Linked DNA regions of Struthio camelus. The protein of the gene in region 1 purifies or fractionates together with the protein of each later gene. This does not show direct contact. Links are inferred from orthologs where the notes say so. Each region holds a gene or a part of one and is shown in the gene's direction. Other genes may lie near its edges.

Region 1 (3,910 bases):
GCCGTCACGCTCTTCATTTATATTCATAATTTGTTGTATCCACGGCTAGCTCTACTGAAAAGCCTGTCCGGATGAGATGACACCATCGCTCCTGAACTTCAGTCATCAGAGGTAACATGCTATGTATACGTACATCCCATGTCATAGCTTAATTCCCGACATATTAGCAAATTTGCTGAAACGGCAACATTAAATTGTTTTAAACAAACGTTAAATCGAAAGGCGCCACTCTTTTTAACGGCTCTGTCTAATGCCAGCTACACAGCTCCCACACGCTTCTCCCACCGCCGAAGCGGGTTTCATACTCTGCTCCCGAGAGCCTCCCAGACCGCAGGGCCCCGCGCGGGGGGGGGCCGCCCCAGCCCCAGCCCGCACCGTTTCTACGACCTTTTAATCGAGTCAGGACTCTCGCCGGCAGCTCCGGCCCCTCCGAGCCCGCACCTGCGCCCGCCTCGGGGGGGGGGGGGGGGCCGAGGGCGCCGCCCGCGCGGCGCCCGGCCTCCCAGCGACCCCCGGCCGCAGCGCCAGACCCCGCCCGGCGCCCGCGCTCCGCCGGGCAGCGGCCCCGCTCCGGGCCTGCGGGGCGCCGCCGCGCCGCTCCGCCGAGGGGGCGGCGGCCACACGCAGCCCCTCAGACGTCCCCGGGGGGGGGGGGCGGAAAGGAGGCGGCGCGGCAGCGGCGGCAGCGGCGCCCCCCCCCCGCGGGCACCCTCCCCACCCCCCCGGCGCTCACCGTGGCTGAGGGGCTCCGCGCGCCGCGGCGCACGCACCGACGCCACAGCGGGCGCGACGGCTGCCTCGCGCCGCCTTATACGGGGGGCGGGGCGGGGCCGGCAGCGGCTGACGGGGCGCGCGCGCGGGGCGGGGCGTTAGCGGCGGCCGCCCCTCGCCGGGAGCGCTCGCCGGGGCGAAGCTGAGGTAAAAGTTCCCCCCCTCCTCCGGCTGCCGCCTCAGCTCGGCCCCGCCGGCGGCGAGGTGCGGGCGTGAGGCAGCAGCCGCCCGGCGGGGCCCCGACAGCCGGACCCGGGCCCCGGGCTCGCCCGCGGCTGCTGGGCCCGGGCGGCCCCTCAGGCCCGCCGAGGAGCGCCGCCACGGAGCCGCCGGGGCGGGGGGCGCCAGGCCGCGCCGCGTGTGCGAAGGCGGCTGTGCTAGAGCTGTGCCCCGGGAAAAGGCCCTTCCGCGGCTCCTGCCGCAGCAGTGCGCCACGACCGCTGCGCCGCAGACCCCGGGGGCAGCGCTGTGCTTGTTTGTGCTGACAGCATCCGGCTGGGCCTGGGCGCACCGCACGAAGAGCCCAACCCGAGCAGGGCTGGGCTCGTTCCCCCTGAGGTCATCCCTTCCCAAACGTGTTCTGTACGATCTCGTTCCCACCGTCTCCACCATATTTAGTAAATCACCCTATGGGGGCATAGTAACGGCGTAACTGCATCAGGAAGTTGCCCAAAATAGGGTTCCTCCCGGCTTCCGCTGCACTGATCGTTACTGATGTCACAGCAAGATGACCATGGAGCGTTCACTTCTCTGATGTGGTAGGACGGTTGCTGGCAAAACAGCTCTCAGCTTGTTTGACAATCGTTTGAAGTCTTAAGAGCTGCAGCCAAGGAAGCTTGGAGGGAATAGAGCGTGACAGGCGTTCAGAAGTTGCTGTGCACTTTGTGCCTACACAAGCACCCGCTTTACAGTGTTCAGATCCTGGTTTATATCCTGCACGGCTTTCGAGTGAGGAAAAGTAATTGTTCCCTGCACTAACACTCTGTCTGCCATGGGCTTGTGACAGTCATGAATGTGTTGTCCCCTTTCCATTCTCATTCAATGACAAGCTAAATATTACCCAGTACCTAGAAGGATACAGTCGGCACCTGATCTGTACTCACTTTCAAAACTGTCCGCATATGAGACATGTTTTTCCTGGAAGCTGTGCAGCCCTGCTCACACAGTTTGGTGTCTTAGTAGGCCTTCCTAAAATTGCAGTCTAGATGGTGATGCTGGACTGCTCCTGAATCCTAATTAGCCAGTCTGGAGCATTAGCAGAGCGGCTGTCTTGTACAGAGCACCCTAAGCATGCCTCCTTGTAGTTTTGTTTTTTAAAAGAAAGTGCAAGATCAAGTACTACCAGGGGTTTACCTTCACTATTAATAACGAATGGTCTGGCTGGTCTGACAGAGCAACGTTGGCCATGACAGTAACTAATCTTTCTGTCAACAGATGCAGAGGTAGGCTCTGGGGCAGAACTTTCATATGATGTTTAAATCCCATTGAGATACTTGAATCCCTACGGACACGCTTGTTTTACATACGTAACCACAAACGGGCACTCCACTGTGTGATATGAGTGTCCTAACAGCAAGACATTCACGTTAGCGAGAAAGGTCAGGCCCTTTTGTACAAAAAGTGTGAATGCAATTATGACAGAACTGACTGGTAAAAGTCATACAGCAATAGCACAGCTCTAAGCCGTAAGAGAAGCCCAGCAATCTCTTTTAGCATAATTTGAAAACTTTTTGTCCTTGCAAAACTTTTGGTGATTTGTAACCCAAATTTAGTAAATCACACGGAGAACAAAGTAGATTCATTCACATCAGTTTCTTGTCTTTGCTAATGGGCTGCTTGATCTGTGCAGAATTATAGCATGGGAAAGTTTCCAGTCTGCTATGAAGAAAGCACAGGGCAGTTAATCCTTCAGAACTGCTTGAAACCTTCTCCTCTTACTTCGTCACTTCCACCTGTCCCCAATTAATGCTTAAGGCTTATAGCTAGGGCAGGGCCCTAGGTACCCCTGATCCTCACAGCTGGAGAGCACAAAGAACTCCGTTTAGTATTTTACAGGGAACTCGTGAAGCATACTGGCAGACTCGGTTAAAGCAATCAAGTAGCATGCTTTTCAGCTGTGCTAGTAATGAGAAATTGAAAGTTTTCTCCAATTCATTTATTGTTGTGCCTTAGCTATGCACAAGTAATTAAGAACTATGAACATGCAACCTGCTCGTATAGGAAATAGTTTTCTTTTCCTAGCAAACAATATTACATTTTTTTCTATGAGATGAAATATTTTCAACATTCATATTGTGTGCAAACATTCAGCAGTTTTCTGAATTGTATACCATCATTTAAAGCACTCTCCTGCTTTGACACTTTGTTATCACAGCACTCAACAATTTAAACCGTTACATATACTTGTTGACCTCACTGGGAATTATATGCAGAATTCCAATGTCAGCTATAATCATTGTCACAGTCAACCTGATCTTTTTGCTAGAGCTAATCTTATCCCTAGCATAGTTTCTAGAAATGCTGATTTTAACAGTTGCTAATTATAGAGATTCTTTGGTTTCTCTTCAGGAACTATACAACTGTTAGAGAAATTCACTATCAGATTAAGATTTACCTGTATTTTATTTTGCTAGAGATAAACTGTTTCCACTGTTGCAAATTCACATCATGTCCCTCAACTTCAGATAGTTAACATAGATGTTTTAAACCTACCTCTTTCAGAGCTTCCTTCTGTTGGTTACGCTCTCCAAGTATATTCTTGGTATTTCCATTAGCTATGGGATTTTGGATGGCTGCTCTCAGTGCTCGTTCCTTTAATTAGGGACGTGCATTGCGTTACTTCTGAAGTGGTAGCTAGCAAAATAAAATGCTCTTATTTCCTCTGTTCCTACTTGGAAAGACAACAGATGTGCTTTCACTGGATCTATGGTGCCTGTTCAGTTTTCTGTTGCTTTGTAGCTCTCTTTGGTGCAAAATGTCTTTAATAATCATTTTTGCACTCCAGAAAGTTTATCAGGGAGACAGACAATTCCATAGAGCATTTTCTCATGTGTCTTTAAGTCTATAAGGGATTCTTAAAGAGGACAAAATGCAACTATCTCTATTCAAGGAGATGTAAGTGACAACTTACACCTTTATT
Region 2 (3,910 bases), on another chromosome or scaffold:
CAGCACAGGTGCTGCTATGTTTGCCCACCCTTAGCTACATACATGGTTTTCCATGTGTTCTTCCTGAAATGAAGCTCTGCTTTCTAGCTCACAGCCTGCTCAGTACACAGAGAAGCTTAGCTCAGGCTTGTACGAACATTTACAACTACAGAGCTCAGACTAAAGCACCCTGCTTTATTTAGTTTTCCTAGCCCAGCTCTTCCAGTTGTCCTCTGCTGGTGGGGAAGGCCAGTGGGCAGGGAATCCTGTGTGATTCACAGGGCACTGTGAAAGGCAGGATGAATTCAGACCACGTGCAAAAATATCACAGAACTAGACCCTTTAAACGGGAATGTATATAAAGAAAGACTGCTCAGAAACACCACTGAATGGTAATTTGAGGATGACCTCAGACGTTCACCAGAAATGCTAACATGCTCCCTCATCAACACGCTGCTGTTGCTTGTAAGTTTGAGATTTTTTTTTTTTGAGAAAAAGGAAAGTCTTTATGACACTGTTACATTGATTCCAAACTAGGCTTTTGCAAGCTATCCCTTTTCCTCCTCTGGTGTTCTCAGGCTCTCCTGGCTTGGCTGTTACATCAGGTCAGCTCCTTACACAATGTGCAACTTCCTTCCTCCGCTGAGTGCCCTCGCAAGGCAACACCATCTCAGCCCGGCTGGAAAGGCTTTTCTTCATGTCAATGAATCTTACTTTTCCTTCTGCCAGTTTTTACCGAGTTCTGTGATCCCCAAGGCACTCTGGACATGAAGTGGTTAGGCAGGGACCCTCGAGGCTTGAGGAGAAGCCCCTGGCCTTCAGAGGTGCAGGAAAGACACCAACGATCTAAACAGCAGGGTTAGGCAGACCTTTTTAAAAAAAGAAAAGGAAAGAAAAGAAAAATCCCTGATGATTTCTTTCGTTCATCTCTTGTTAGCTCAGACGAGCTGCTCGAGCGGGGCAGGGGAGGCTCGGCCCCGCCTCAGGACCCTCCTCCCGTCGGGGCGGGCAGAGGCCCGTCGCGGCGGGCGGGCGGGCCCTGAGGCGGGGCGGGCCCGCGCGCGCCCCCCCGCCCGGCGCGCGTCTCCGGGTGGGCCGCGGAGCGGGCGCCAATCAGGAGGCGCGCCCGCCTCCCGGGGGGTGGGCGCGGCGCGGGGGGTTCCCGCCAATCAGGGCGGGGGAGGGCGCGCGCGCTGCGGCGAAGCCAGGGGAGGGGGCGGGGCGGGGCGGCGGCGGCGGCGGGGAGGGCGCGGGCTCGGCTCGCCGGCGCGGTCATGGCGGCTTCTCCCGTCGAGGTGTTCGGGCTGCCCGGCGAGGAGGTGAGCCTGGCGGGGCCGCCCCGCTCTCCCCGCGTCCCGTCGCGCCGGAAGGCGGGCGGCGGCTTCCCCGCGGGGTGGGCCCGGCCCGGCCCGGCCCGGCCCGGCGGAGCGGAGCCCGGCAGGTCCCGCCGCCGCCGCCTCGCTCGCGGAGCCGGGGCGGCAGCGCGGCCCTGCGCAGGCTGCCGCAGCGCCGTGCCGCCCCCTCCGCCGGGCGGGCGGGCGCGGTGACCCGGTCGGTACCGCGCCGGGCGGGCGAGGAGCGCTGGCGGATCGAGCCTTTGTTTCCGGCCGCGTCGGAGCCGCTGTCTGAGCGGTTGGGGTGGCGCGGGCGGGGCGGCCGCGGGGGAGGCAGCGGGGCGCGGGCGGCGCGGGCCTCGGCCAGCAGCGCCCGCTCGTTCTGAGCGTTACCTGCGTTGGGGGGGGGGGGGCGGCCTGTCCCCTTCCGCTCCCCCCTTCAGTCGCAGCGCTTTCCCTCAGACAGCTGTGCGGTGACCTGGGCGACATGTCGGTACTGTTGTTTTCGAGCCAGCAGGGCGTTTCACCAAGATTGTCTTCGATCGGCTCTTTCTGTGTCCCTCGGTGATGTTCTCTCTGTCAACGCGCCTTTGTTGCGGGCTTAGCAGGGTTGTTTTGTTCTTTTAACTTTGAAATACTCTTCCTAGTCTGTTAGCCTGACAGAAGGCTAACGTCTTCCTGAAGTCTGTTAGCTGTAATTGGTGTATTACTTCTCCAGAAGTAACCAAAAAGCTCTAATAAGTTAATTTTTCTTCTTAAAAACTTCAGTGGGGTAGGAACTCTCCTAGAAAATTAGCCCAACATGCTGTTAGGGCTGTCCAGCACTTCCATTGGAAGATCCTGTTTTCAGTTGCTTGCAACTTTCTGAGGCTATCCACTTGGACTGAAATATTCCATGCCTCAGGCTCTGTATTTTAATTTATTTTATTAAATTTCAGCCAGCTTAATTGTTGCTTAGCCTGCCTGCTGTGGGGAAGAAATTTTGAAATCGGCTCACAATTGAACAATTCTACTTTTCCTACATCCTTTGGAACATGAAGTCTTTGGAGGGAGGGGGAGGAAAGAAAGTTGTATGTAACGATTCTTTCATATTTAACTATTTCCACAACTTAAAAGCTTAGCCACACTTTCTCAAGTTACAGTTTTTTAAAACACAGTTTGTTTACCATCAGAGACTTTGATATTCAGTTGCTGTATATTGATAAACACTTAAAGAACATGTGCGGTTTTCTTCATAGTTTCAGTGTATGACTATACGTGCACAAATGATAAAATGGATAGTCTTTGGGTTATAGAAAATCTGCTGCCAGCTGCTTTGGACTAGGGTGCTAGAATTAAAACTAGAGTTCCTATCTCCCTGGATTCTCTTCTTTTTTTTCTTCCCAGAGTTTAAATCTGCAAAATTGCCTTCACAGAATTACAGTAAAGACACAGAATTAGAAAACCAAACCATACAGAAAAGAAAGAAGTAGTATCAAGGAGCTGTCTGTAAACTCCTTCTCCACACCAGTACACCTGCACCTTGATCTGCAGCCTTTCCATAGTTTATGTCTGGACCCTGCTTTTCCCGCGGGGCTGCTGTTTGACCCATTCCACGAGAGAGGTTTGCTTGGGATATGGTTTGAAGTTGTCTGCTTACCTCTGGAGGGCTTGGTCTAATTGTTGAGGCAGCTGAATGCAGCATTGGAGACTTCCACCCCCCCTCCCCCCCTTCCAGAATTTATCCCTGATAGCTTGCTTAATGGTGTATTAGTCATTCAGACCCTTAGTACGGGGCTGTTAATATCATGTTGCTGGCACAATGAAAATGTTGGCAAAGAGGCTGGGGTCAGAAGGAAGCTGTAGCTTAGGGCACGGTGTATACAGCTGGATATTGTGTATGCTGTGTTTAGGTATCTGAATTTCAGTGCCAAATTGTAGCAAATGCAATTGGTCTTAATTTTTCCGGTTCAGTTTTTATTCTATAAAATGGATATAATACCATTCTGTCACCAGTAGGACTTTTGTGGCTCACTTGGATGTTGAAAGAGTGAGCACTAGAAAAGCAGCCCATGAGGAGAATTAATAATTTTGTATTCAGAATGGGGTCTTAACAGTATGTGCAAAACAAGGTCTGGGATCACATGCTGAAAGAAGAAGAGAGAAGAAGATACAGAATAGTTGCTTGTTGAATACTACCTGGTTTGTTTCCTTAGTAAACAACAGTTGTTGTCTCTTAGAAAGTGTGACCTATGGTTGTATCAAAGGTTCTGGCAAGATGAAATACGCAGTAGCAGGCTAAAATAAATATGCAGTAGGAACAAAATTATAGTTGCCCAGTGATCACAATTCCTGGTACCGTTCGGCTTTTTTTGACGAAGTTATATCGAAGAACAAGACTGAATACTAATCAAGTGTCTAAAATCTGTTTTTATTGTAAACTATTCTACATTGCAGGAATAGTATATAGAAAAAAGACAAAAGAGATTACTCCTTTCTCAATCCAGGAAAATAAAGAGCTTTTACAAAGATTTTTAAGATTAATTTTTCTCCTCTCATTTACCTTGCCTTGAAAAGGAAAGAAACACTTTAAAGTGCGTTTCCCACCTTCAGGTCAG

The links.
Region 2: the proteins of LITAF (region 1) and NEDD4 purify together in Homo sapiens (co-immunoprecipitation; 4 studies listed by BioGRID and IntAct, counting the BioPlex papers as one, with this or other methods). This does not show direct contact. The link is inferred for Struthio camelus from reciprocal best matches to the Homo sapiens genes LITAF and NEDD4.

The regions. Positions count from the first base shown.
Region 1 is NC_090956.1:12,993,447-12,997,356, forward strand, and holds the start of LITAF (lipopolysaccharide-induced tumor necrosis factor-alpha factor), read left to right. Parts: upstream 1-840; 5' UTR 841-918; intron 919-3,910.
Region 2 is NC_090953.1:16,358,659-16,362,568, reverse strand, and holds the start of NEDD4 (E3 ubiquitin-protein ligase NEDD4), read left to right. Parts: upstream 1-1,199; 5' UTR 1,200-1,253; coding exon of another isoform or gene 1,254-1,298; intron 1,299-3,910. UniProt on the Homo sapiens protein: E3 ubiquitin-protein ligase which accepts ubiquitin from an E2 ubiquitin-conjugating enzyme in the form of a thioester and then directly transfers the ubiquitin to targeted substrates. Specifically ubiquitinates 'Lys-63' in target proteins.